3 linked regions of the Cricetulus griseus genome follow. The protein of the gene in region 3 interacts with the protein of the main gene of each other region in a pairwise test. Links are inferred from orthologs where the notes say so. Each region holds a gene or a part of one and is shown on either strand. Other genes may lie near its edges. The genes, in order: Dhx30, Prrc2b and Ythdf1.

What was found.
Region 1: the proteins of Ythdf1 (region 3) and Dhx30 interact in a two-hybrid assay, tested with the Homo sapiens proteins (2 studies listed by BioGRID, with this or other methods). The link is inferred for Cricetulus griseus from reciprocal best matches to the Homo sapiens genes YTHDF1 and DHX30.
Region 2: the proteins of Ythdf1 (region 3) and Prrc2b interact in a two-hybrid assay, tested with the Homo sapiens proteins (2 studies listed by BioGRID, with this or other methods). The link is inferred for Cricetulus griseus from reciprocal best matches to the Homo sapiens genes YTHDF1 and PRRC2B.

The regions. Positions count from the first base shown.
Region 1 is NC_048597.1:217,551,501-217,560,876, forward strand, and holds the start of Dhx30 (ATP-dependent RNA helicase DHX30), read right to left. Parts: upstream 8,582-9,376; 5' UTR 8,547-8,581; coding exon 8,339-8,546; intron 6,079-8,338; coding exon 5,948-6,078; intron 4,874-5,947; coding exon 4,763-4,873; intron 3,034-4,762; coding exon 2,732-3,033; intron 2,362-2,731; coding exon 2,241-2,361; intron 1,519-2,240; coding exon 1,369-1,518; intron 1-1,368.
Region 2 is NC_048599.1:143,882,408-143,892,295, forward strand, and holds the start of Prrc2b (protein PRRC2B), read left to right. Parts: upstream 1-4,376; 5' UTR 4,377-4,549; intron 4,550-4,692; exon of another isoform or gene 4,693-4,830; intron 4,831-4,966; exon of another isoform or gene 4,967-5,112; intron 5,113-5,643; exon of another isoform or gene 5,644-6,343; intron 6,344-9,888.
Region 3 is NC_048599.1:982,387-992,294, reverse strand, and holds the start of Ythdf1 (YTH domain-containing family protein 1), read right to left. Parts: upstream 5,747-9,908; 5' UTR 5,506-5,746; intron 4,351-5,505; 5' UTR 4,271-4,350; intron 1-4,270.

The sequences.
Region 1 (9,376 bases), on a different chromosome or scaffold from region 3:
TACTAAAGAACCAGTGCTTAGGTCACAAAAGGTACCAGTGCTACCACTTGGCTGTTGCGTGCATCAGCTTCCCAACACTGCAGCTCCTTCCCAAACAGCTTCTCCCATGCCAGGAGTGTGGGGCTTGTGCATATGAAGTGAAACTGCAGACTCCTCCACATCCTGCAATGAGCCCCAGGCCTCTGCCCTGCAGAGCCCACACCCAACCTCATATTTCACCAGCTGCATGCAACCTTTTCTCTTTGTTTTGATTGTCTGAAACAGCCTTGATATGTAGCCCAGGCCAGCCTTGATCTCATGATAATCTATCTGCCTGGCCTCCCAAGTACTGGGATAACTCATGGACTCCTCATATTCTCCAAGTTGACAGGTGTATCCTTTACCATCAGAGGCATCTAAGACATGGTTCCCCAAAACCAGATTCACAAGGTACATCAGAGAACTAGAACTGCCACAGACACAGCTCAGTGAGAGGGTGGCCACCAAAAATGAGTAATGCTCTATAGTCAGTCACTAAACCTTGGGAAGAAGGAAGGAGAAGGAGGAAGGAAGAGGAGGAGGAGAACTTCAAGAAATTTGCTAGGCTTAATGACACCCACTAATAATCCTACCATTTGAGACAAGGCTGAGTTGGAAGCCAACCTGAGCTGCATAGCAGGTACCAGGCCAGGCTAGAGTGAGGCCTGGTTGGCAGTCAGGCTGGGGATGTACGTGAAGCTCTGGGTTTGGTCCCTAGCACTGCATGGTGGCTCGTGCACATAGGAGATGGATGCACAAAGTCCAGAAACTCATGGTTATCCTCAGCATTGTAATAAGTACCAGGCCAGCCTGGGATACACCTGACCCTGTCTCAAATTTAAAAAACAGAAGAGGGTGTGCTTGCTACCAAGTCACATGACATAAGTTTGATTTCCCGGAATCAATACAGTAAAAGAAAAGAACAGACTCCTGTGTCCCCTCCTCTGAGCTCCACGTGTATACTGTGGTGCACAGACAAAAAGTAAATATTTAAAAGAAAAAAACATGAGGGGTGACAACCTGCCAGCTGCAGGCCACACTGCCATCACCTTTACTTCCTCCAATTTCATTCAGATTATTCACTTGGCCACCAAGGTTAGCAGCATCTCTGGGCACCAAGCCGATCTTATAAGCCAAGCACCGCTTTCACACCCCTGCCTGTGAGGTCTCACTCTGGTTTCACCTAGGCTTTGGCCAAGCGTTACTAAGGTCAAGCTCACAGGTACAGTCCCTGCAGACACTCTGGGGCAGTAGGCATGGAAACAGATACATGTAAGGATGAGACCAAGGCCTGGTGTGTGTCTTCCTCCCTAGAAAAGTGGACTAGTCTGTCACAGACAAGGGACTCACCTTCAGTTTCTTGCAAGCCAAGGCCGCTGCCTTATTCTCAGCCTCAGCTTTGCGGCGCCCTTTGGCAACAAAGGTCATGGGACAGGGCCAGAGCAGAGTGAGTGTAGCCAGCTTGGTCTTGGTACCCACAGTATGGAACTGCATGAGGTTCTACATGGAAGGCAAATGAGGAAGTTACAAAGGCCGGGAAGGAGCAGACGGGTGGTCTACGCACCTTCAGGAACCCGACAGGTGGGTGGTCTACGCACCTTCAGGGACCCACAGGCAGAGCTCACAGCTACAGCACCAAACGAAAACGACCATCACACCAGACTAGGCACAACCAGAGTTCTTTATTTTGGCTTCCCCCCTTTTCCCTCCTGCCTCATGCCATTCACCCATCAATGACCCTGTGTAGCCCTAGCTCTGAGCTTGCTTCTCATTTCTGTAGTAGAAGTCGCGGTTCACACGATGCTGCTACCTGTCTTCCTCAGCCACATGCGGTTAGCACCTTCAGGAAAGTCTGACAGTAAAAAGGCCTTATACCTCTACCTCAGTCCTCTGAGACCCCTTGATGTGCATCAATGATGACATTTAAACACAATTCAGGCACCCCACTTCTATTCTTTCAGGTCCCTAACCCACCACCTGGTCATAGAGTTGGGTCTTCCAGTCAGCAGTCCCAGCCTACACCCTGTGTGGCTATTTTCCTGTCCCTGCTGCTTTGCCTTCCATTCGTCAAGGATCCCGTGTCCTAGCTGGCCTAGGTGGGAGCCAAGACAGGCAAGCTGAGCCCTGCCCTACAGCTGAGGGTTCCTTCCTGCTGAGCCTTCAGAAGACAGGCACAAGCAAGTAGGTGGCTCATGCACACACTTCTGGGAGAGCCAACTCACCTTAGCTGTGGAGGACGATGTCGCGATCTGAATCACTTTGGCCAGAAGGTTCTTGGGAAGTGGAAATTGGGTCAGAGCTCTAATAGCACTGTCATCATCTGTCATTTCAAAGGAACCCCCCCTAAGAGGACAAATAGTTTAGGTGAAAAAGTCTGCTGTCTTCCTAGGCCACTTTCTCTGGGACCTCAAGGCTGGGACACAGTGCTGGTGGACAGAAAGGCAGGGGCAGGAGGTGACGGTCAGGAGTGACTGTCATATTGCAGAAGCCCACAGTGCCCTGCTTGCCCCCAAAAAGTGAGCTGAACGACTGCTGACAAGGCGGGGCCCAAGTGTGAGCTGGAAAGAGGGACCAGGCGTCGTCTGCACGAGCTCAGCCACAGCCCAAGACAGTAGCTACCAGTGTACTACCCCATCCAACCCCAGCCCACCCGTATGTGGGGGCTCAGAGAAGACGTGACCAGGGTCCCTGCATCCCTCTGCCACAGCAGTACCTTGAGTCCCTGAGTGGGTTGTGAGAGTCTTGCTGGGTCATGGACAGAAACTCCGTCACATCAATGGTCCCCTCTTCAAGCTCTTCCTCCTCATCTTCCTCTTCTTCTCGGCCTAAGGATCGGGATAGGCCTCCAGGACCCCCTGGCCGAATGTTCTCAGGATTCAGCTGCCGCCATGAAGTTGGAGGCATGGTGGGTTCTGGACGCCACCAGTTGTCAGCTGGAGACCCAAAACGATCAGCTAGCACTCGGTATTTGGCGGCATCAAACAGCTCATTCCGTGGACCCAGCAGACCCCAGCCCTGTCCAGTAGAGAAAACTGTGAGGAGCAAACCATCACCACACCTAGGTGAGCCTCTTCTGTGTCTGCTATACACACCAGTCCTGGCCAGATCCCAACAATGAAAGCTCACAGAGAAGGATCTTGTGATCTAGACCAGTCTTAACTGTGCAGAGACCATCTTAAGAAACAATAATAGAGCCCGGGGTTGGTGGCGCACGCCTTTAATCCCAACACTCGGAGGCAGAGGCAGGCAGATCTCTGTGAGTTGGAGACCAACCTGGTCTACAAGAGCTAGTTCCAGGACAGCCTCCAAAGCCACAGAGAAACCCTGTCTCGGGGGGAAAAAAAAAAAAAAAAAAAACCAAAAAAACAAACAAAAAGAAACAATAATAGAAAGAAAGAGACTGACAGAGGGAAGGAAGAGAAGACTTAAAAATGCCTAGGTTTGCTAGATATGGTGTCTCCCAGGCCTAGGCAGGAGGATCACTTAAAGTTGTAGATGGCGGGCTGGAGAGATGACTCAGTGGTTAAGAGCACTGTCTGCTCTTCCAGAGGTCTGGAGTTCAATTCCCAGCAACCACATGGTGGCTCACAGCCATCTATAATGAGATCTGGTGCCCTCTTCTGGCCTGCAGGGATACACGCAGACAGAAAACTGTACATAAGTAAAGCTTGAAAAAAAAAAAGTTGCAGATGACCTGAACTGTAAGACTTCGTCTCAAACTAATAAAAATGTGAAATGAAAATAAGCTAGATAAGTGCACGCCTTTAATCCCAGCATTCAGGAGGCAGAGGCAGGTGAATCTCTGAGTTCAAGGCCAGTCTTCAGGACAGCCAGGGCTATACAAAGAAACCCTTTATAATTAATATTAAGTCTCTGAGTGGATTTTTGGGAAGTGGTTGGTAAAACAGACCTGATTGAGGCCCTGATGAAAAACTCCACCTACTTACACATGCAGGCAAGCAACACATGCAAAATAAATACCTTTTTTTTTTTTTTTTTAAATCAGTGGTTAATCCTAACACTGAGGCAATCAGGCAGCCAGCCTGGTCTACAATAGTGAATTACCAACCAGTCAAGGCTACACAGTGAGACCACATCTCAGAAAAACTTTTTTTTTTTTTTTTTAATTTTATAAGGCAAGGGCTGGGGAGCTAGTAAAGTGCTCGCCACACAAACACGAAGACCTAAATTCAATCCCCAACTCATGTAAAACACCAGGTGGTAGTGGTGAACTCTTTTAATACCAAGGTGGGGAGGCACAAAGAGTTGCATCATGGGACATGCTAGCCCACCAACCAGCACAGCCTAATCAGTGAGCCCCAGGTCACAGAGAGATCCCATCTCAAAAACCAATGTAGACAAGCCAGCTGTGGGAAGACACACCTTTAGTCTCAGCAGAGGCAAGTGTATCTCTGTGTTCAAGGCTTGCCTAGTCTATATAGGTAGCTCTAGGCCAGCAAAGCTACAAAATAAGACCTTGTCTCCAACAAGTAATGAACAAACAAAGACAATGTAGATAGACAACCTCTCGTCAACACACAGGCACATGTCCTCACAAACATACACACACACACACATACATAGAGCAAAGAAGAGGACTAGGAAGCAGGAAGGGCTCAGGAAAGTTCCATGACTCAACACTGCCTCAACATCTACCAAGATGTCCCTGGAACCAAAACCAGTGCAAGAGAGAGCTAGCGACAGCAGTCTCCGGGCCTGCAGGCCTTCAGTAGAGGTGGCTCACCTTGAAGAGCTGGCAGGCTGCTGCTGCCGCCTGCCGCTCAGCATCTATCTTCTTGCTGCCATAGCCTTCTACCTCCACACTCTTGGGCCACTTTATGTGCAGGGTGACTTTCTGGGAAGTGAAAAGAGAATAAAGAAGTGGGAACGATAGCCATGCCTGTAGCCGTAGCTCCACAGTAGTAGAGGCAAGAGAATCAGGTTACAAAGTAAATTGCAGGACCTGCATCAAAAACAAGCAAACAAGCCAGCTGTGGTGGCATGGTCCTTTATTCCCAGCACTAGAGAGGCAGACCCTGATCAGCTCTCTTGAGTTCAAGGCCAGCCTGGTCTACAGAGTGAGTTCCTAGATGGTTTCTACACAGAGAAACCCCTGCCTCAAAGCAAACAAACAACCAAAAAACCTTTATTCAGAATGGTTTGCCTGCATGCTTCTGTGGGATATAGGCTCTCTGACACTCTTGGAGCAGGGGTGTTCTCACCATCACCTCTTCCCTACATTCCTTGTTAGACAAGGGACCAAAAGCAGGGAGCACTACGGGGGCCTCTTAGACAAGATGAGCACTCCTTACCCCACCTGCTGTGGATTTCTGGTGGTTCTTCAGATCTAACTGTATTATGGAATTCTTTACTGACTGCTCACATTTAGAAACCCATTCTGGCGGGCAGAGCAGCGCACATCTGTAAGACTGTTTTTTTCAATGTGTGTGTAGAATACTTTCACTATCTGTAACCTGGAGGCAGGAGGACCAACAATCCAAGACCAGCTCCTGTCACACAGCAAGTTTGAAACCAGCCTAGGCTACGAAAGACCCTATCTCAAAGCAATGAAAAGCAAATGAACAGGGAGGGCTAGGTGGTGGCACACACCTTTAATCCCAGCATGCAGGAGGCAGAGGCAGGCAGATCTCTATGAGTTAAAGGTCAATTCCAGGACAGCCAAGGTAACACAAAGAAACCCTGTCTTGAAAAACCAAAACCAAATGAAAACAAAACGAACAAAAGCAAACAAGCAGGATACCTAAATTGGCCTCTTTGACAAAGAAAAAAGAGAAACAAAATCCAAACCTGAGAGAGAGAGAGAGAGAGAGAGAGAGAAGAGAGAGAGAGAGAGAGAGAGAGAGAGGCAGCCAGCGTCCTTTGAATCACACTAGGGACTAGGGACTCACTTAGCCACCAGCAGAGTTACCTTTTTCTTCGGTCCATTTGTGTGCACATAGACTAGCTTGTCTTTTGCATGTGAGATGCCAAGGGCTCTTCCAATCACGCTGTTGAGAAGGTTTTTGGGCTGTGGAAACTCTTTTAATAGGTCCCTAGAAGCTAAGAAAATAAGAGTAAAATAATTACAATTCCTTTTATTTTGCAACTCCACAAGATATATATCAAAGCCACTCTGGGCTAACGTTGACTCAGGACTGCAAAGCATTCAATGAAGTTAGGAGTCCTTGGGAATGGGCTAGATGGACAATAAACTCCATCAGTCTGATTTCTGAAAGGATGCTCAGAAAACAAAACAAAAAAACCTATCTTGCATGCATGCACATGAGAGATGAAGACCCTCCCAAAGCAGGTCACACTATTAGAAGGACAGGTCCTAAAGGGACTCTGGCTAGCTCCAGCATAGCGAGCATGGCTCTGGCAACCTTGCCCTTCTCCCCCATTCTCTCTGCCTTGCTGAGCCATTAGCTTTCATTCCTGAAGCTAGCCACAGAGGTCTATTCCCTAATTTGGCCACTTCCTCCTCCTAAGGCTGACCACCAACTGTTCCAGTTGTCAAGTATTGGTACTGATCTTGGTCTTGGAGATCCTAAGCTGACACTGATTCTTTCAGGCCCCATGTAGGTCAGTGATGAGATCCAGAATTTAAAGATTATGCCTCTACTCCCAAGTGTGCCTCAGCACTGGAGAAATCCTCCCTAAAGTCCAGTCTCTCAGCCAAGACAAAGGCAGGAGCCAACCCTTTCCTGCCCCCTGACGCCAAGGGGAAATGGAAGCATCAGACACCAGAAGGCCTCTCTCCTTCCCTTCACTTAAGTCTCCGCATTAACCTCAAAATACAAATAACACAAATGTCTCAGATGTCCCATCTAGCAGTAGCTCCTGCCAAACAGGGCTTAGTTGATCACACAGTGGCAACTCACAACAGCTCAAAACAAAATAAAGGGCCCATCGACATGCAGCATGAGAATCTTCAGGGGATGTACGTCCTTCTCGTTTGCCACCTACAGTCTCTGGCATTATGTTCAACCTATAACACCCCACAACAGAACTTAGTGGGTGTTCCATGTAGTATCATGTACTTGCTTTATCACAGCAGTGGACAAATTATTCCTCAGTGGGTACCTGACAATGCCAGCAATGTTCAGGTAGTATTTGTATTTAATTCTTTTGTCTTTTCAAACATTCATTCACTGCCCAGCAGTTGTTGCAAACTTTTAACCCCAGCACTTGGGAAGCAGAGGCAGGCAGATCCTGTGAGTTTTGGGACAGTCAGGGCTACACAGTGAGGCAATGTCTCAAAAACAATTCTTTTATTATCACTGTGTGAGAGAGTCCACCATTTGGAGGTCAGAGAACAACCCTTGCAAGCTTATTCTCTCCCTCCACTGTGATCAGGGGTTGGAACTGGGGTCTAACTACCAGAGCTGTATAGCAATCACTTTTACCTGCTGAGCCATCTCACCAGTGTTGTGTTTTGAAAATGCTGCTCCAAAATTTCTGATGTAAACTTAACTTGTTTGGGATATTTACCTGGGGCAGATAACTGTGTCAACTAGCACAATAGGGGTGTCCTACCTGGTGCAGTCTCCTAAATGCTATGTTATATATCATGTAAGAATCAAGCAGTTAATAAACAGCACCTAAGTAGACTCAAGGAGAGTTGGCCCCATCTTCCCTACTTTAAGTAACCCACTAGACCCACAGATGTGCACACGCCACAGGCCCCAGTTTTTCAGGTGGTTAAAGGCCAACTAGCTCACTCTATTTTTTTAATGTATGTATAAATGTCTTGTCTGCATGTAGACCTGTTGGCCACGTGTCTGCCTGATGCCTGTGGAGGTTAGAAGAGGGCATCGGATCCCCTGGGACTGGAGTTACAGGTGGTTGTGAGCTGGGTGGCTGCTGGGAACTGATCCTTTACCCTCTGCAAGAGCAACTAGTGCTCTTACCCCACCGAACCATGTCTCTAGCCCCTAGCTCGCTCTATCTTAATGGCCATAGACGTTCTTATCAGTTCCACTCTCTGCCCTAGTCAGGAGCCAAAGAGCCAAACTCTACCAAAGATTCTGTATTCCAGGTGTCTTGGGGCTAAATCCGACTGTGATGACAGAGCTAACCCTCAAATACCACCCAATCTGACAGAAGTAGGATATTCACGTGATTTCCCTACCCACCCAACCACGCGCCGGCATGCTGGGTTCTAGGTGGTCCTACGCCACACAAGGCTTTCTAACGCAGAGCAAGGACCCGCGGGGGTAAGAGGTTCAATCCACTTTCAAGACCGGCCTCTCCCCGCGCGCCTGGCTTGCCTTCGCTTGTCAAGGGCGCTTCAGCCCCATGTCCGCTACAAAGCCCTCACCGTTCACCGTGCTTCCGTCGCCCTCCCCAGGCTCGCTAGGGGCCACCTCTGATTCGACCTCGGAAGCCTCCTGAGTGCCATCGGGGCGGCCGAAGCTTGATGAGAAGCCACGCGAGAGTCCTTGTAGCCCGGCAGCGCGGGGATCGGGCGGCCGCAGGCGCGGAGAGACGCTGGCAGCCAGCGCCACGAGCCGCCTTGCGGACGCCATGGCGATCCCGCCGATCCCCGCGGCCCCAGAGTGCAACAGTGCCTCGGAGGGCTCAGCGGCCGGCAGGAGCGCCGAGCGCCCTCTGCTGGCCAGGGGGACTCAGTGCTGAGCTGAGCTGAGAGCAGCAGGGAGCTAGGATGCCGTCTGTCCGCACACCACAGCCCAGAATCAAACCACCGACGGGCATCGGGGTCTCAAGGAGACTTTAGATTTAGAAAATACTACTATGTATTTGCTCCACGTCCATCCAAGGAAATGACGCATGTTTCCTCTAGGTCCTACACATGGGAAATTCCTTACAGGCTGCTTTCTAACAACTGACTTGGATGTAGATGAGCCAACCTTATGGGTAGGACTCTGGTGGGCTGGGGATCAAACTAAATCTGAAGGCAGTGGCTATGGGCGGGGGGTGGGGGCCTCATGGGCGGGTGGGGGGTCTCATGGGCTGGGGTGGGGCCTCATGGCGGGTGGGTGGGGGGGGCGGTGGGGCCTCATGGGGGTCTCATGGCAGGGGTGGGGCTCTTATGGGCAGGGTGGGGCCTCATGGGCTGGGGCGGGGAGGGGGTGTCTCACGGGCTGGGGTAGGGGCCTCATGAGCAGGGGTAGGAGGCCTCACGGGGTCTCATGAGAGGGGCCTCATGGGCAAGGGTCTCATGAGGGGGGGGGCGCCTCTGAGGTTCAGCACTGTGGAGAAAGCTTTGGTCGGGGCTGGCAGTTTAGGTTGGGTAGGCTGGGAAGAAGTAATTTGTTTTTAATCCTAGCCATGACTTGAATAATCCCCTGGAGAGTTTATTAAAACACACTGCTGCCGGGTGTTGGTGGCAGACACC
Region 2 (9,888 bases), about 140 Mb from region 3:
CCACTTGCCTCTGCCTCTCGAGTGCTGAGAATAAAGGTGTGCACAATTGCACCCAGCAGAATTGCAGTGCTTTTAATTGGCCATATAAAAATGCCTGCTCTTATAGAAATATGATGGTTTAATTATGGAAAAATGCTATTTTCCTACCATTATTTCTCAGTATATAAGTATATCTTTGGGTTGGATTGTTAGAATATTTTGATTTAAACATTGCTATTTGCAAGATGGATGGGGTGGTGCACACCTATAATCCTGGCACTTGAAAGGGGGACAAAGGAGGATGTGGAGAGTAAGGCCATCTTTGGCTACATAGTAAGTTTGTGACCAGCCAGAGACCCTGCCTCAAAACAACACAGATCTGAGTAGACTCATTTCAAAGGAAGCAATGGCTAGTATTGGCAATGATAACAGGTGACATTTCAAGCACAAGCTAGAGTTTTGGAGAATGTGAAGCTTCCACATAGTGATCTCAACTAACAATTCAATTTTTTTCTGAGAGTGGAGCACTAACAAATACGATGGTGTGAGTCTGTGTGTGTGAGGGGGTGGGGTGTGAGTACCATGCCTGCATGTGCTGTGGAGGCCAGGGGTCTATATCAAATACCTTTTACTCAGTTGGCTGGCTGGCTGGCTGGCTGGCTGGCTGAAGAATTCCATCCATAGAGCCTTCTCTCTCCCCTCCCAGTGCTGGGTTACAGATATGCCATCAGCTTTTTTACATGGCTGCTAGGAAACCGAATTCAAGTTCTCTTAAGAGGCAGGCACTTGGCCGGGCGTTGGTGGCGCACACCTTTAATCCCAGCACTCGGGAGGCAGAGGCAGGAGGATCTCTGTGAGTTCAAGACCAGCCTGGTCTCCAGAGCAAGCTCCAGGACAGGTTCCAAAGCTACACAGAGAAACCCTGTCTTGAAAAACAAACAAACAAACAAAAAAAGAGGCAGGCCTGAGTTCAATTCCCAGCAACCACATGGTGGCTCACAACCATCCATTATGAGATGCCCTCTTCTGGTGTGCAGATATACACGGAAGCAGAATGTTGTATACATAATAAATAAATAAAATCTTAAAAAAAAGGAGGCAGGCACTTTACCAACTGAGCCATATCCTTGGCCCAACAGATAGGACTTTTAAAGCATCACATCTGTCAACAGCTGGCAGACCTGCCTGACTTGGTGAATCAGTGCTTTCTAGGTAACCACTGTAGCGGTCTGTAGTCAGAGGCGGTCTAGGTTACCCGATGACATGGATTCCTGATGTTCCTCTCGCACCTCCCAAGCCCTGGGGTTACAGGTGTGTAGCTCTTTCAGTGCTGAGAACCAAACCTAGGGCTTTGTGTATGCTAGACCAACTGAGCTACAGACACCCCCAGCCCTGGATTCTCTCATTAACCCTCACCAAGCAGCCATAAGACAGGCACTGCTGCTCTTCCCATTAGGCAGAGAAGAAAGGCAGACTGTAGCAGGCACAATAAAGCGACCCCCACTGGCAGTGGTCAGATACGATTCAGTTAAGGATCCTGGATTGTTTAGGTGCCTCAATATAATCACAGGATCTTTGTAAGATTGGCTAAGAGTCCATGATATAAAATGAATTTTAGCTATACAGTTGGCTGTATGTATCCACAGGTCCCACGCTCTCCGATTCAACCCACTGAGGATGAAAAGCCTTCAGAGAAGCTAGGCATGGTGGCTGGCTCACATCTGTAATCTCAACACTGGGGAGCCTGAGGCAGGAGGATTGCTGTGTTCAAGGTCAGCCTGGACTACGAAGTGAGACCCTATTTCAAGAAAGAAAGAAAGAAAGAAAGAAAGAAAGAAAGAAAGGAAGGAAGGAAGGAAGGGAGAGAGAAAAATTTGCATCCATGGTAGGCATGAACAAACTTTTATTCCTGCCATTATTCCCCAGGCAACAAGGCAGAGCAACTATTTACATCACTCTTGAGGTGTAGTGTGTGGTAAGAGTGATCTGAAAGTGGTGAGGATAAAGGAGGCTATGTGTAAGTCACAGGTAAATTTATCTTGACATTTTATACAGGAGACTGAAGTATCTTTGGATTTTGGTGTTTTTTTGTTTTTGTTTTTTTGTTTGTTTGGTTTGGTTTTTCGAGACAGGGTTTCTCTGTGGCTTTGGAGGCTGTCCTGGAAGGATTTTGGTGTTTTTAAGAAGCCCTAGACCCATTATTACCCCACTGTGGAACAACTGTATATTTTATTTAACACACTAAATAATAAATACCATTCACCAGCACTCGGAAGAAAGAAGCAGGCCATTCTCTATGAGTTCAAAGCCAGTCTGGTCTACATAGAAAAGTTTCAGGACAGTTGGGGCTCTATAGAGAGACCCTGTCGCAAATAGCCAAAAATGAAAAAATTGAAAAGTCATCATCCTGGCCACATATCAAATGCTCAGTGGCCACATGTGGCCAGTGTGCGTATCCAAGTGTTTCTCTGTAAAAGTGTGTGAGCCATACACATGCAGAAGTCAGAGGGTAGGAGTAACGTTAGGTGTCTTCTATCCTTGCCTTGTACCTTGTTCTCTGTTGCACATCCCAGGGTATCTGTTCCAGAAGTTTCTGTCTCTGTCTCCCATCTCATCATAGGATGACTTTGAATTTCTGATCCCATTGCTCCCCTCTCCTCAGTGCTGGGATTCCATACATGTCTGCACCACCACACCCTGCTTTACTTACTTATTTTTGAAATAGGGTCTTGCTTTGTAGCCTGAGCTGTCCTGAGACTCACAATGAAACCCAGTCTGGTCTCAAATGAATAGAAGTCCTCCTGTTTCAGCTTCTCCAGTGCTGGGATTATAGACATGTTTATTTTAAAGAGGAGATAACATAAAAGTGATCATGATACAAAGCAGTGAAATTGGGAAGGCATAAGAAACGCTGTAAAACTCCCCAGAATCTCACTCCCTGGGCACTGGGCCTGGCATTCCTAGTTCCACTGAAATGGGCTAATCTTTCTGGGGCCCAGTTGAACAGCTTCTGTGTACCCTCTTGGTCCCTCTTTTTTCTTATCGGTTAATCGGAGCAATAATAAGTGCTCTGGAGTTAGCATTAGATCACACAAACCCAGTCCACTAACATAGGGCATGACAGCAGAGCTGGGATTTAGCCTGTTCAGAAAAATGCCCAAGTATGTCTGTGGTCTTACTTTTTTTTTTTTTTTTTTTTTTTCAGTAACCAAACCCACGGCCTCCTGCATAATAGCCATGAATTCTACAACTGAGCTATATCCCCAACTATTCTTTTTCATTATTGTTTTTGTTTCTTGAATTTTATTTTTAATTGCCAGGGTATCTGGAATTAAATCGGGAGAGCTCTCCCACCTCGCACCACACAAATAACCACGAGGGGAGCCATTCTTTCTCGCAGACCTTTTGTTTTGCATTCACACAAATACAAGGTAACACCCAAGAGGGGTGGTTTACGACATCTTAAACAAAAGGGGTGAAGTGTCTATACTGTGCACTTGTTATGGAATGGAAACGACAATGTGCTCCTTCTACCTTCTCCCTGATCCGTCAGACGCCTAACACAGTCTGAGCTGTCGGGCTGCAGGAGGTTCTATCGCTCTGGGGGTGCAGGGGGCAGGATCCAGGCCGAATCCCTTTTCTGAGCCCTCCCTCCTGCTTGCCCTCCAGGCCTCAGGTCTGTGTCCCCTGCGTTTTAGAGCGGGCGCCCTCCTCACCCCCCTTCCCATGGTCACCCTAGAGCTCTCCCTGGGGTCTCCTCCCAGTGTGCCCCCAGGCCTCTCTCAGGACCCCCTTCCCCACTCCATCGAGGTCCTCTCCGTCTTGGGGGTGGTATCTACCTCAACCCACTCTCCATTGAGGTCTCTCTCCACCAGGATCCCCTCCCTCTCCATGAAGATCCCTCTCTGCTGGGACCCGCTCTCCTCCCAGTCCCTTCTCCACTTGTTCTCCATTTGAGCCGTCCTCTTCACTGCCGCTCCTTTCCACCCAGGTCCCTTCTCCATTAAGGTCTCTCTCCACCTAGGCCTTTTTCCCTCAAGATCCTTCACCTAGGCCTCTTCTGCACCTAGGCCCGCTTTCCTCCAAGGTCTCTCTCATTTAGGCACCTTCTCCACCTAGCCTCCTCTCCACCTAAGCCCCTTCTCCGTCAAGGTCCCTCGCCACCGCGTCCCCGAGCTCCCTCTCCATTGAGGTCCTCTCTTCCGCAGCCGCTCGCTGTCTGCACCGCGGCCCAGCCTACTTCCCGCACCCTCCCTCCCGGGACAGGGGCGACGCGGCAGGGGGCGCTGCGCGGGCCACCGTGCGGGCGGCGGGCGGGGGCGGCGCGGAGGCGGGGCGGCGCGGCGGCGGGGGGCGGGGAGCCGAGCGCGGGCGGGAGGCGGCGGCGAGCCACAGCGCCGAGGCTCCAGCGAGCGCCGAGGAGCGGGAGGAGGAGGCAGGAGCGCAGAGCGCCGAGCCCCGCCGCCGCCGCTGCCGCCGCCGCCGCGCAATCCGCCGCCATCCGCCGCCCCCGCGCCCGGCCGCCGCCCGACCGCCATCGCCGGGCCCGTCGCTCGCGGACGCAGACCAGGTGGGCCGGGGCCGGGGCTGCGCTTTGTCTCCACTGCCGAGCTCTGCGGCTGGCGGGGCCTGCGGCCTGGGCGGCCTGGTCGGCGCTCTCCAGCTCGCCATTGTTGTGTCTCGCGGCCAGGCGGGAGGCCGGCGGGCCGGGCGGGGCCGGGATCGGATCGCCGTCGGGATCGAGCCGGAGGGCTCTCCAGCGTCTGGGGACAGCGGCCTCGGAGGCCGGGGCGGGGGACGCGAGACCCCGAGGCCGCCCGGAACCGCAGGCCGAGCGCCGCCCCGGCTCGGGTGGGTTCGGCTGCGGGAAGCGGGGTGGTGTTTTCACGGCACCCGGAGCCGCTGCTAAAAACGTTTAATAATAAACAGGATGTCGCTGCTCGGGGCCTGTCGGATTGATGGTTTTTTGTTTTTTTTCTTCGCCTACCTTTTAAGAGAGAAATGCAGTCCTGCTGAGGTGGTGGGCCTCTCTGGAGAGGCTCTACCTGCACAAAAGTGGACGCTGCTGCTTTCCTTTCTTCTTTGTAAATATCATGGGCAGACGAAGCCCACTGTTAGGCAAGAATAGGTGTCGTTGTGTCCCCCCCACCCCACCCCACCCCCCGGCAATGGTGAGCTTGAAGGAAGTGGGAGAAGGGGGGCGCCGATGCTCTCCGGAGTGTGTCATTTGCTAAATGGCTGCCTGAGAGAAACGTTTATAAAAGCCCGTCTTTTGCAGTATAGTTAAATTTCATCTGCGGTTTTCTTTCCTGAAAAGGTTAGCGTATATTTTCGGTGTGTTGTTTGCATTATACATCTCCCTTGGGCGTTCAGTCTGTCCATTTGAAGCCTTGGCGTTTTTTCTTGGCAGAACAACTGCAGGGGCTTGTATTGTATGGTGATGTCTGCACCGTCGTGGTGCAAGCTGGGACCTGCGGGGTACAGGCTGTAGAGTGGGATGGATATCTGCTGCCACCTCCAAACCGAGGGGACTCCTCAGCTTTCATTGGCAGAGAGACACGACTTGGTATGCAGTCGGTGCTCTATGGTAACTCCGCGTTGTCAACCTAGGATACAAGGTTGGCCACTTGTGGTGTCATCCATGCTGGAGCATGCCACAGGTGCTGACTTGAAGCGGCGACATTGGGGCAGGGGTTCAAAACACTGGTTGATGTCGGACTGCTGGGAGTCCCAGGCCAGCCTGGGCTCCACCGAGAAAACCCAGCAAAATTCCCACATTGTAGGAGCTTGGTCAGTGTGGGCCTCTGGGGAATGAGCGTGGGAAGGCATGTGGCTCTCTAGTGCAGGGGGCTTTCTAGTGGGTAGCTGGGTTTCAGCGGGCTGGAGCTGTATTGAGTGGACAGAACTGGCAGGATACTCGGGAGTCTTGTCTTTGGAAGGTAACTGCCCTCCTTGGGGATGGGCAAGTAATTGTTTGTGAGCCTTCAGCTTGTTCAGGCAAGTGTGCCTTTGGAGCCCTGTTACTCTTGAGTTACTTTAGTCAAGTCTCTGAGCCCCAGCTCTTGCATCTATAAAATGGGAATAATTACGACTGCTCGTGTATCTCGTGGGAGCCGCAGGTAAGATTCAACAGCAGAGCGTTTCCATCCGTGGGAAGGTGGTAGGTAGGCTTGTATATTCTTTGGTTTTGCTGGTCCCTTTTAATTCCTGACTTTCTTCCTCCTGTTGTGGCTTACAGAATTGTGACCCCGGCCCCGCCCCAAATTCTGTGACCAGCAAATGTTTTGATATTCTCTTTGTTACCCGAGTTCCCAAAAGCACGGGGCTAGTTTAGAAGAGGCAAGGAGCTCAGCCAGATTCTGAGGTAAAAGGGAGATCATAGACGGGCAGAGGATAACAAAGCAGGGGGAGGCGGGGCTGGGCGGACACGACCAATATTGGTCTTACTGTGAGTGATGACTGAGGCCTAGTTTGCCTCTTGGACTAACCCTGAGTAATTTGTTGGTCCCCACTTGGGTAAACAGTGACTTGCATCCGGGAGGGGGTGGGGGATTGTCTTACTTCATTTGGCATAATCGTTTTACTGAGTTTTAAGGAACTTCCGTGCCCCCTCAAGGCCCTTTATTCTCCAGCCATTTGGTTGTCCTGCCTCCTTCACTGGTCTGGTCCTAGTTTGCTGGTGGCTGGCAGGTTAGGGAAGACGAAGTCTACTCTCCCTGCCCCCAAGATTTTAATTCCTTGGGGAGCTCTAACATTCTCTGCGCTGTTTGTGTGGCACCCTGGTGGGGCCTGCCCTAGTCGTCTTCACTGTTCACTAGCCTGGAATGGGTGAGGGGAAATCCCAGGACACTTAGAGGCAAAAGCCTGGGAGAGTGGAGTTTCTGGAATGGCCGGTCAGAACTGGCTTCTGAGCCTTGGGCTTTGCTGAGGGATTTTTTTGTTTGGCCTCTTAACTGCCCTCCATCCATGCGCGCGCGCGCGCGCGTGCACACACACACACACACACACACACACACACACACGTCATTTTTTTCTCTGAAAGATTATTTTACTGTACTTTAAAGCTTTTTTATCCCCTAACACAAAGTACCAACTCCGGTTGCTAGTGGCTGTGGGTTGGTTACGTCTCCCATTGTTCTACCATTTAAGATTGATCATTCGGTGTTTCTATTTCAAACCAGAATAGACTGGGAAGACCTGTGCATGTATTTCTAAAATTCCATAAGGAGGCTCCTCTGCTGTCAACTGTTCGGATTGTGTTACAGGCCAGCAGGTATTAATAGGGCCTGTCCATAGCAGATCTTAAAACATTTTTCTCTTAAAAAAAGAAAGACGATGGCCAGCAGACATCTGATGGGTTTTGTACTGTGAGCTTGTTATTTTTGGTTTTGAAATGAATATTGTGTACAAAGGTAGGGCTTAGTGAGTCTAAAGGCCATTTTTTTTTTTTAGTTGATTATATTTATTGTATGTCTCTTTTCGTGTCCCATGGTACTCCTGTAGTGGGGCAGCCTGTGGGAGTTGGTTCTCTCTTTGGATCATGTGGGTCCTCGGGTTCAAACTGGTTGTCGGGGTTGGTGTCAGTCACCCTGACTACGGAGTCATCTCTTGGCCCTCAGTGTGTATTAGTGTTACTATTATTTGGGTTTGCATAGACTGGAGAGCATTTGGATGGGGTCACACATGGCCCATGGTGCTGGAAGCTTTCTGGGGCAGGGACATTGTTTACGATGAGCCTTTAGGATCCACAGGGGCACTTTGGCCTCCTCACCTGGGAGCTGGCAGACCTGGGCATCACCGCAGGTGATGCTGCTGTTGACACCATTGGTCACGTGGGAGATCTGTGTGCCAGGAGGGTGTTTTTGCCTTGGTGACTGGAATCAGGAGCCTTGCTTGGGCTTTGTTCTTACTGCACCTTTTTTTTTTTTTTTTTTTTTTTAAATCCTGTGATACCTGAGAAACGTGATTTCCCAAACCTCAGCAGTGCTGTAGGATGCTGGTGTGTGAAGCGTCTCATGTTGTGCAGGGTAAAGTCCACCTGAGTGGCTATTGTCTGGAGTGTTTGCCTCTGTGCCTCTCTCTGCAGCCAGCCTAGGTCCTTTATCCCTCCTTTCCAGACCACTGGCTTCTTCCTCTTTGGTGCTGGGAGAAGCTGAGTTGATTGCATTTTCAATTTTCCCGTCATGTGCCAGATACTCCATGGTCACTTATTTCCCTGCCAATGTGAAAGGCCCTTTAAAATAACGTTTCCAAACCCCTATGATTAAAGTGAAATCCCTGAAAAAATAAGCAAACACTGAAAAGGATTAATAAGAAAATACAAATAGAGACCACATAGTCTCACCCCCTAGACTATAGAACTAACATGTATATGTTGGCATCTTTACACACTGCATGGTTGGCAGCTTGGTTCTTCCTGTGAAGGTTGTATTTAATGCATCCGCAGTGATTTATTAAATCTGACAGTTTGTTAGGCAATTTGGTTGTTGTTACTTACCCTCCTTCCCATCAAACAAAACATTCCTGCCTTTTCTTATCTCTGATTAGCTCCCTGTAATGGGATTTCTGAGGCCAAAGGGTGCGAGGTTTTCTTCAGGAGTTTTCAGTACTTCCGACCTTTCTCTTCTGTCTTGAACCTCCAGGTTCTGGGTGGCTCTCTCCAGATCAGAGTCTTTTGATTTCCTAAGATTTATTTTGATTATTTTTAATTATGTTTATCTATGTGGGTATGTGCACGGGACTGTAGTGCTTGAAGAGTTCAGAAGAGTGTTGCATGCCCTGAAACTGAAATTATAGGTGATTGTTAGCAGCCTGATGTGGGTGCTACAAGCCAAACTCAATCCTTTGCAAGAAAGTAACTGATCTTAATGCTTCCCCATCTCTCCAGTCCCTGGTTCAAGGTTGTCATCACAGGCTGGATTGTAGACAAGGCTGCCTCAAACCCCGAATTGTTCTGTAGGTATGGCAGGAAGGCTCTCTGAAGAGAGATTTTGGGGGAGCATCTCAACGTCTCATTTCTTTTTTGGGGGAAGGTATGGATTAAAGGTGTGAGCTACCACCCCAGGGAGTGGGGTGAATGGGTAGTGGTTTCTTTTTTAGTTTCTATTTGTAGCACTCAGATGAGGCCTGGGATACATTTTGTAGGCCAGGCTGGCCTCAAACTCGCAGAGATGAGATCCAAGCCCCAGCATGGTGCTGCATGCCTTTATTCCCAGCCTGGTCTACAAAGTGAGTTCCAGGACAGCCAAGGTTACACAGAGAAGCCCTGTCTTGAAAATCAAAAACCAAAACAACAGAACGCCCCTCAAACCTCACAGAGATTCACCTGTTTCTGCCTCCTGAGAGTGCCGTGATTAAGGGTGTGGGCCACCTTGCTTGGCTCTGTAACCCAAGTGGGCCTTGAATTGGCAAAACTGCTTCCATTTCCATGTACCAAGATTACAGTGCTGCTTTTCCTTATCACACTTTTTACGATTTGTAAACAAAAGTTTTAAAAACAATTTATTTCTTTGTGTGTGAGTACAGTGTGTCTGCATATATGCAAGAATGTGCATGCTTGTGGAGGGTTGAGATTGAGTTTGGTGTCTTCCCAGGTCACTCTCCATTGTATGTTCCGAGGCATGGTCACTCGCACCCAGAACTCACTGCTCTGGCTAGTCTGCTTCCCCGACCTACCTCCGTGTGTACTGTACTGCAGGTGGCCGTCATGCTTCCCTGGCTTTCCTGGGGTGCTAGGTATTTGAACTCTAGTTTTCATGCTTGTGCAGCAAGTGCTTTACACACAACCATCTCTCCAGCCCCTAAGCAATTTTTATTGTGCTAAAAATTCCTTGTTTGTAAGTGTCCAGTTCAGTGGCATGAGGTCTAGTCACAGGGAGGGGCACACTCTCACTACTCACCAACTCCAGG
Region 3 (9,908 bases):
GCAGCAACTTCCTTCAAACACACTCTGGAAATACCCCAGGGCTGCTGGAAAAGCCTGCATTGGCCAGCACAAGCTTGGGTTTCCATTCTCTTGTAAATGTTCCAGGCAAGAAGTCCTTCTGTAGTGGTGGCTCCACAGAGTAGTCTCAGCTACCAGTAAGGAGTGGTTATCAGAGACACAGCTGAATAAATTAAGTCACACAAGCAAACTCAGAAGTCTAACCAGACTGCTGGGTAGTAGGTACTACATCTAAGATTTCTAATCAAAGCCTGGATACAACGGGACCACACAAGGGAGGCAAACACATCTTCCTGGCAAAGCCAGAGCTTACTGAAAATACAACTTGGAACTCTAAGGTTTCTTCTTCCTCATAACTTGAAAATTAGATGAACAAAATAGATACTCCAAAGAATTAAAGAGAATTTAAATGGCCATGGCTGTTATCCCTAGGTTATTTAGAAACAGCAAAGTATAATAAAACCATAAATCTGTTCTAGAATTAAAAAAAAAAAATCAATCCAACTTTAATTACCTTAACTGACAAGGATGGGGGAAAGGGACAAACAGACAGACAGACAGCCACAACAATTCTGAATGATTAGAACACTTCCTCTGCCCTTTTTTCTGAGACCATTTAAACAATAAGGTAAGTGGGCATCAAAGTGACTGACACTGGAAGGAGACAGTCTCTTCCAAGCCCAGAAGACCATCCATCGAGGAGGGAGCACACTGAGACGCATGCCCTTCATTGAGTCAAATCAATTATGTGAAAGGAAGGCATGGAGGGCAAGGCTGAAAAGTGACCAAGTGACTAGGACTCCTGGGAACTGCTCTGTCAGTCAGCACTACCACATTTGTTTCAGGAGATGGCCACAGACAGAGGAATGTCAGAGAAAAACACTATACACTGACTCAGTCAGGCACTTTCTTGGTCTTCAAGGCTGAGCCTTCTGAGACTGTAATGTCTGGCTGATACAGCAGAGACAGCAGTTTCTGACAAGGAATTTCTGTATCTGTTTAAGCAATTTACTAAGGACCCAAGGTATCCTTTCATTGCCCCTCTGGGAAGCTGTAGTGGTAGCAAACCCCTCTTTACGGGGTACTACCACTGGACCTTTTAAGGAAACTTATGTACGCACAACCACAAAAATCCAAGCCAGATACAGGATTGATAGCCAGGCACATATGTGCCAATCCTGAGCCTACCAGAACTGCCTAGACATGGCAGCAACCCAAGTATCAAGTTTCTCCCAGATCTTCACAAACAACAGAGGCTGCATATGCCCTAACAAGGCACAGCATTATTTAACTTAACTCTGGGCTACAGGTGGAAAAAAAAGAAAAAGAAAAAAGAAAACACAAAGTCGAATTAAAAAACAAAACAAAACAAAAAAAACTTGGGAAACTGGGGAGGCTCAATTTTCAAGATAAGCTAAGAGCTTCCAAGGCCAGCAGTTCCTCACAAATGAGTATAGGAGGCACCAACTTCACTGTGGCACTGTGGCCACATGAAACAACACCAGTGACAGTGTCAGTCAAGCATTCTGAACAATCTCTGGGTACTAGGATGTACTACAGAAAAGCAAAGAAGCAGATGGCCTTCTGCCCCACATGAAGAAACAAGCAACACAAAGGCAGAAGGCACCACAAGATGACTGAAGGCCCCAGCTTCTCCACACAGGTAAACAGCCACCAGGCTGGTCTTCAGCTGCTTCTTGCTCCCTGTGCTGCTACTCTCCCTGTGTCTTAACAACACTGGGCTCTTCTACAAAGTCTGCCATCAGGAGCACACATTTACTCTAAGTGATGTGTTGTTAAGTGCTTTGCTAAAAGTACACATCTGAACACACAGACATGAAGGAGGCACTTCAAAGCTATTCCCTGGGCATGCTTGCTCCTTGAAGAACATCCCTTTTCATGGCTTCCACAAGAGAAGATTGCAGTGGCATGCAATTGACAGCAGGGCAGGATCCTCCCAAATATTCCATAAGCCCCTACTTTATAAAAAATGAATTAAGGCAACACTAGTTCCTTGTTTTGGTTAATATTTAGTACATACCACTACTAAGAAAACCAGGAAATACAATATTCAAAAGAATAGGTTTGTGTAACTTCTTGTTCTTGCCATGGCCAACAAGCCCATGACTAAAGCCAAGTCAGTTCTGCAACTCTATATACTGCCCATCAGGGGCAACCATGCAGCCCTATAGGTTAAGACCCCAGGTTCTTCAGACCCTGAGGCTTCTGAGATGCTAAAAGTGAGAAGGAAGATGGAGAAGAGTTGTAAAATGTTCTAAGATGACCTAGAAGGGGCAGATAAGCAAAAACAAGAACAAAACAAAACAGGCAGGTAATCCATTTCCTTCCAATACAAGGCCCAGGCAAAACCTTGCTTTACTCTAACTATGCAGCATGCATTTAAAAGTAGCAGTCACTATGGCTAAACCTAAAGTTCGAATTGCCTATGGCTTTTTGTTTGTTGTGAGACAGGTCCCACTACATAGTCCTGTCTGGCCTTGAACTCAAAGATCCAACTGCCTCTACCTTTGAGTACTGGGATTAAAAGTGTATACCATCATGCCCAGCTTGCCTATGGCTTTTAACCATTGCAATTAAATTGCCAGAAGGCTTCTTGCAGACAATTTTTGTGGGAAGCTAATCAGGGAATCTAGTGGGTGGAGTGGGATGTGGAATATAACTGGTGATCCTATAGAGCAGGAACAGCCAAAACAATGCTTTGGTACAAAATGCCCATGATCCCAGTAGGTTAGGGGAAAGAGAGGACATGAAAGCGGACATGCAGGGACACGCACATGAGTGCACATGCATGCATGCATGCACGCGCGCGCGCGCACACGCACACACACACACACACACACACACACACACACTGGGGAAATGTGAAGCTGCTATGATCAACATATACTGCATGTACATATGAAACTTTCAAAAAATACAAAAATGTTTTTTGTCTGGGTCTAGAGAGATGACTCAGAAGTTGAGACTTGCTGCTCTTACAAAAGACTACAGTTCAGTTCCCAGCACCCATGTAGGCAGTTCACAACAATGTGTCGACCTCTTCTAGATTCCAAGGTTACCTGTGCATGTACACACTCCCATGCCCAAGCCCATACTCACACTTAAAAAATAACCATTGGCTGGGGAGATGGCTCAGTTTAAAATGACTGCTGCCCAGTAGGGCATTGGTAGCACACAACTTTAATCCCAGCACTTGGGAGGCAGAGGCAGGTGGATCTCTGAGTTCCAGGCCAGTCTGAACAAATGGAGTTCCAGGCCAGTCTATTGAACAAATAGAGTTCCAGGACAGGATCCAAAGCTACACAGAGAAACCCTGTCTCAAAAACACAAACAAAACAAAACAAGACTGCTACCCAAGCTTTAGGACCAGAGTTTGAGTCCCCGTAAACCCATGTAAATGCCAGGTGAGTATGGTGGCCAACTTGTAAAGACAGGAGGTTCCCAAAGCAATTGAAACTCTAGGTTTCAGAGACTCTGCATCACTGAATGAGGTAGAAAGGTAACAGGAGATGAGATCCCTGACATTAAATCAGGTCTGTACATGCATTCCATCCTCCACTCACCCCCAACCTTGATAGACACATACCTGTGCCAACACACATATGCATACACATGAAAAGTGAAGGGAAGAGGTGTTTCATGGTGCCAAAGGGAAGCAATACTGAATTACCTGAGAACATAGGCCCTTGAAGCTTGCTGGACCATGTAGGTACATACTCTCTAATGCCAATCTCCCAAAAAGCCTAAGGGCAGTTCTAACATTTTTTTCATGTAAAAGGAAACTAAGGTTCAAGGAAGGCAAGTCACCTGATGCACAGAAAAGGGGTCTGCTGCACTGTCCAGTGCTTAGCTACTCTCCTAGATACTAACTTCAAACCCCCAGAGACAAAATGAACATGGCACAAGGCTTCAGGGAACCACACACTCCTTTAAACCATAAAAAAGCACTCTATACCCACACATGCTGAGGGTCAACTAGAAGTCTGCCAGTACCCAATCTCAGCGGGGTGTTACTCTTCAGGGAGAAAACTATCTTCATATCCCCCCACCCCCAGGCCCCAGGCCCAGCAGGAAGACCTGCTCAAATCAACTCTTCAAGACCACTCTATCATTTTTAATACTTCCTAGTATGCCTCTTTCCTGCTTAGGGTAGAAAAACAGAAATATGATAGTAAAGGTGTTACAAACAAAATTACTTAAAAACAACAACAAGCTAATAAAATGAACTCACCGGATTGGACTGTCCAGAAAGGTAGGGCTCAAAGTCATTGTCATGAACTGTGTCCTTCTGATGTAAAGAACCATTTTGTACTAGAACAAGAAGTTGCAAAATATTATCTCCAGGCTTTAAAAAATTACTTTTAAGCATGGGAACCTTAGTAAAGGCTATTTTCATCAAATTTTAGTAGATACAATCTTACTTCAAAATGGGCACACTCTCTAGAGCTGATGTTTACACGCCTAATTAGACTGGCATTGCACAACTTGCCATAAATTAAATTTTTTTATAAAGACATAATCATAATTTGATCAGGTCATTTTGCTGCACATAAAAATAAATGGCAAGAAACTTAAAGCCAGGCTTTGAGGGTCTTGAGATGCTCCGCCCCCACCCCACCCTAGAGGCGGGGCCCGAATCCAGGGCCCCATATGCCTGCAAGTGCTGTATCACAGACGAACCCCCTCGCCACACCCCAGCCAAGGAAATCGACAGGGTCTCAGAAGATCTATGCCAGGCAAACGGAGGACACATGCTCTAAGGGCCTAGTTATGCATGGAGATCTGAAGAGGGCAGGATGCTCGGTTGGAAAGGGCTGTAACCCAAGCTCACTATCATCTGACTCTCCACTTACTTTCCACTGTTACAGTGCACAGCCAGTAAAGGAAAGGAAAGGAATGGTAAATAAAGTGTTGGGCCTTTTCCAACCTTAAAACACGATGAACCATATTTGGTTACATCCAAGTAACAACAACATGCAGTGGTTAAAAAGTCTTCCGGGTAAAAGTTTTAGTGTCACTTTCCAAGACTGAGTTTTGGGAGTTTATTACGAAGCCAGAATTATCACTGATGACCGTAAACTTATAATGACTGCAACTTAGGGTGGGGGGCAGAGCCTCCGAGGCCCACAGGCTTGCTAGAGCCATCCACTACCTAGCAACAGAGAACCATCATTCAGCCCCCGTAGCCCCTGCGAGGATGTCTTAGCACCATTTCCTTCCCCGCCAGGTAACTGTTCTTGCAGAGAGAAGATCGGAGGGATGAACTACTCCGGGTACGCCTTTATTTTCTAGCCCCCCCCCCAATCTGTCAAACATCCCGGAAACGGAAAGTTTCATCTCCTCCGAACTGACGGAAGAAACTAGTAAGTTTCGGGTTCCAGGCAAGGCTGATGGACTTTCTCTCGTCCACACGGACTGACGCTGCCCCGTTCTCCTCCAAAGTCGACTTCCCGGAACTCTCCTCACCTTTATTATCTTGTCCTTTTGTTCTCTGCGTCGCCGCAGGTCAGGATATGCGGGTGGACACCACCCAGCCCGGGAAAGGAAACACAAAAGTTACTATCCGGAGAACGCTCCCCGGAGGACGAGACGACCCCGGCCCGGCCTCCACACCCCCCGTACTCTGACCACGGCCAGGCCCAGCGGACCCCGCCGTCGGAACCATAACTCCGGCCGGGCCTGGTTTCCCGGTCCTCGGCCCGGAGGGAGACCCAAGCCCTGACCGGTCTCTCGGTTCCCGGCCCGGACCTCGCACCCCCAGCCCAGCCTCCAGGTCCCCTGCGCGGCCCCGACCGCAACCTCTGTCCACGGCCTGGCCGTAGGGCATTGGTAGCACACAACTTTAATCCCAGCACTTGGGAGGCAGAGGCAGGTGGGGAATGAGATGGGGTCCTAAATCCTGCAGGGCCACGTGGGAATAGATCTGCTGAGCTGGTGATGGTGGATACCCCAGGGACTCCAGCCCTGTGTGAGCTTGATCTACTATGGATCGGAGTAGGCCACCATCTCCTAGGCTGATCTCCCATACTTCAGCTCTCAGTGAACCTCCTTTCCCTTCCTTTGCCTCAGTTTCCACATCTCTGAAATGGTAAAAGCCCCATGTCTTTTTCAAAGGGCATTGGGGTTCTGTGAAGCGTGGTACTCCCAGCGCATTCTAAAGTCAAGTAGCAGTGGTAAAGCTGCCTGTGGGCTCTGCGTGCCGCCAGGGCTCTGCGGTGGCACGTGAGTAGAGGGAGATACACATACAGGACTGAGGCCCAGATCTCCCCTCCCATACAGGTACCTCCTTAGGCCCCTGCTGGCAGCCAGGCACTGTGGAGCAGAGTCCCAGGATGATTTCCCCTGCACCTGAGAAGGGAGGCCTTCTCACAGGGTCTCACTCTAGTTCAGGCTAGCATAGAACTTGCTATGTAGTCCAGGTTGACCTTAAATTCATAGCAACCTTCCTGCTTTAGCCCCATGAGTGTTAGAGGAGAAGGTGGGTGAATGGGGCCACTAAGCTCTACCTGTCCAGGGGCACAAGAGTTTTGCCAGCGGTGTGCAAGCAGTCCTCCTCGATTGCCCTGCGGCAATCTGGGCCTGAGAGAGGAGTGCCAGGATGTGACCGGTGTTCCCGTTAGATTCTGAACCCGATCCTGTCACCTAAGAGGGAAAGGCTTGACGCCCCCTTTGTGCTCCAAATTCGTGGGGAAAGCTCAGTTCGTTTTTCATTTCTGTAAGAGTCCCCAACAAAGAACTCACCCCACTAGACATTCACTTTTAGGCAGGCTCCTTGCTCAGTGAACCTGTTTCCACACACAGACTCCTCCTATTACCCCACAGCAGATCTCACATTCATTAAAAAGGTTTATTTGAGGGCTGGATTGGTTCCCGACACCCATATGGTGGGTCACAATTGCCTGTAACTCCAGTCCCAGGGGTTCAAAAACTCTCTTCTGGATTCGATGAGCACATGGTTCACATACAGACAAGCAGGCACACATACATATAAAATAAAACAAATCTTTCAAATGTAAGTTTTAAAAGACATATTAACTTTTATTTTCTGCATATGAGTGTTTTGACTGCTTGTATGTAAATGCACCATGTGTTTGTGCCTGATGCTCAGGGAAGCCAGAAGAGGGTGCCAGGTGCCCTGGAACTGGAGTTACAGATGGTTCTGTCCCGCCCCCCAAGTGTGTGCTGAGCATTGAACCTGGATCCTCTGAAAGAGCAGCAAGTGCTCTTGAGCCCTGAGCCATCTCTCCAGCCCCTTTAAGATATTTTTAAAATTTTATGTTTATGAGGGTTTTTTTTTTTTGCATGTATATGTGTGCACTATGTGCATGCCTGCAGAGGTCAGAAAAGCTGTCTTGACTTCCTGGAACTGGAGTAACAGGCACTCACGAGCCCTCATGTGAGTGCTGGGAACCATTGCTAGGCACCAACACCCAGATGCTCCTACCCATCCCTTCCAGGGAATGCTTTGTCCCTGACTTTTCTGTAGGAAATGTTCTAGCCTCTGTTACATGTCATCAGTAGAAGGGCACAAGAAGGAGGCACCTGAGGGTGAGTCACTGGGTTGAAGGGCACATCTTTTGGTCATTTTGTAGATTGTTAGATGTCCCCCAAGGAGGCCATGTTGAAGGCTAGGAGAGCTGAAGGATGGAGACCCTGTATTCAAATGATACCTGGCTGGAACAAGCCTTTGTTGTGTGCTGGGTTTAGCTCACTCAAAAACTGGCCCTAGGAGGGCCAGTGGTGAAGACACCTGTCCATGCAGGCAGCGCACAGATACTCAAATGCTGAAGATCCCCCACCCCTTCTTTATGAACATCCTCTTGGGAGTGAACACCCTCCCTGCAGCAGACCTCCTTCTGAATCCCCTGTCCTTCCAAACCTCCAGGGGGTGTCTAGTTTGTCTTCCAGGAAATCAGCTTGTGGTGTTGGGGCTCCTTCTGTCCTCTGCCCCTCCTGTGAATCACAGCTCCTCTCTCTAGATGTCCATTAGTCACTATCCAAAAGTATTTTAGCTGAGCCCCTACTTCATTCCTGGGATATACAGAGTGCCAGGGTACCAGTGGTCCCTGTCCTGATATCCTGGTAGTTTCCTGTGGAGGGATGCTTGTGCAGTCCTGCTCAGTCTTATTGTACACTGACTACTCACGAGAAGTTCACAGGCATGGGAACAGAAAATGAGTCCAATGCTTCAACCCAGACACAAAACGATGGTTTAACCAAGTCACCATAAATAATACCTGTGATTTGGTAGGCAGCCAGGACAGGATGGAATGAGGAGAGAGTATGTCCCTGGATTGGTTTCTAGAGTGTCCCTTAACTAGAATCTAGGTGAGTGGGTGCTGACTGGCTCAGGGTGCTCTGGAACAGCACGAAACAGAACATAGACATGTACCCCAAAATCAGCTCCCTATAGCAGGGGCCACTCTTGCATCCATGGATGATGCAGGTGTTTGAGTCAGCATGTGACAGACGCATCATGCAACTTGCCTCTCAAAAGCTCTGTGGGCCTGGACCAGAAAGCAAACCTCCAAGAAGTTAGAGCAAATGCCAGGGCCAGACAATCTGAACTTCACCTTACTCATGAACCTTGGATCCTTTCCAACCCTTGTCTCTTTTACCCTCTACACAGTACCCAAGGACCAGCAGCCTAACTTGGACCAGAAACCTGCCATTCGCTGAGGGTTCCATGGCCTATTGACTGCCTCTGTGTTTCCAGGAATTGTAGCTAGCATCTGCTACTATGGTTGTGCTTATTTGTCCCCCAGGACAGTACCAGGTGGCCTAGGATCCAGTGACCTCCAGGATATTAGCTTCAAGGCTGAGGAATAACAAGCAGGCTTTGTGGCACTCTAGGATCATGTAAGCCTCAGGCCTTGACCTTAAGTCATGAAACAGCACAGGCTGCTGTAAGAGGCATCTTCATTCAACTCATGTGGCAATCAAGTCTGGCTCTCAGCCAGGGCAAGATGGAAAACCAGGAACTATGGTTCAAAAAGCAAAAAAGGCTTCTTCCTCTTGCCCTCACCAGCTTCCTCTAGACCTGTCATGATGTATTCTTGTTTGATTTTTGTTTGTTTGTTTTTCAACTGACTTGATATTTAATGCCATGCTTCCTCGAGTAAAATGGTGCTGAGCCTCAGTCACCTAAGCCAGTCTGCAACATCCATACATGGACCTTGAGTATACTGTGTTCACACCAAGGCTCCTGTTGGGACAAGGGGTGGCACAGGTTTCTGCTTCAAAAACTGATTCTGTGGGAGACGGAGGCTGGACTGGGCTGAGTCCCCAAGTCCTGCCCAGGCCTAATCATCTCAGCAGGTGGCACCTAACAGTTTCATAGACTGTCTGGTAAGTGGCTACAGCAGCATTTTAGGTAAGAATAACCTGATATGAAAGGCGTCCTGGGACCCACAAGGATTTGGAGGCCCTCTTGGAGATATACAGAGTTGGCGTCATAGTATTCAAGTAATGACGGTGGTGAGAAATCTGGGATGCACAGAGCCCGATGGGGTGGGCGAGGGTCAACATGGTAAACAGGGTGAGCAGGACTAAGCCTGGAGAGGGGCTTGGGGCCCGGTCAGCAAAACGAGTATATGAAGATGCACGTGGCAGCTGGAGGAGTGCTGAGCACGGCTGAAGCCATTAACCTGGAACGAGGGCCTGGCCAGACAAACAACCATCACCTCTCCCTAGGGAATGAGAGTGACCTGTCCAGGAATGGGAAGACATGTCTCCTTCATGCCCCCATGATGCCCAACAACCCCCCAGTCTGGTAACCACATGCTGATATCCATTCAGGGAGTCCTTCTCGGTCCTAAGCTTGTGCCTTTGGGGAAACAAGATGCATGTTTCCTCACTCTGCCAAGCTG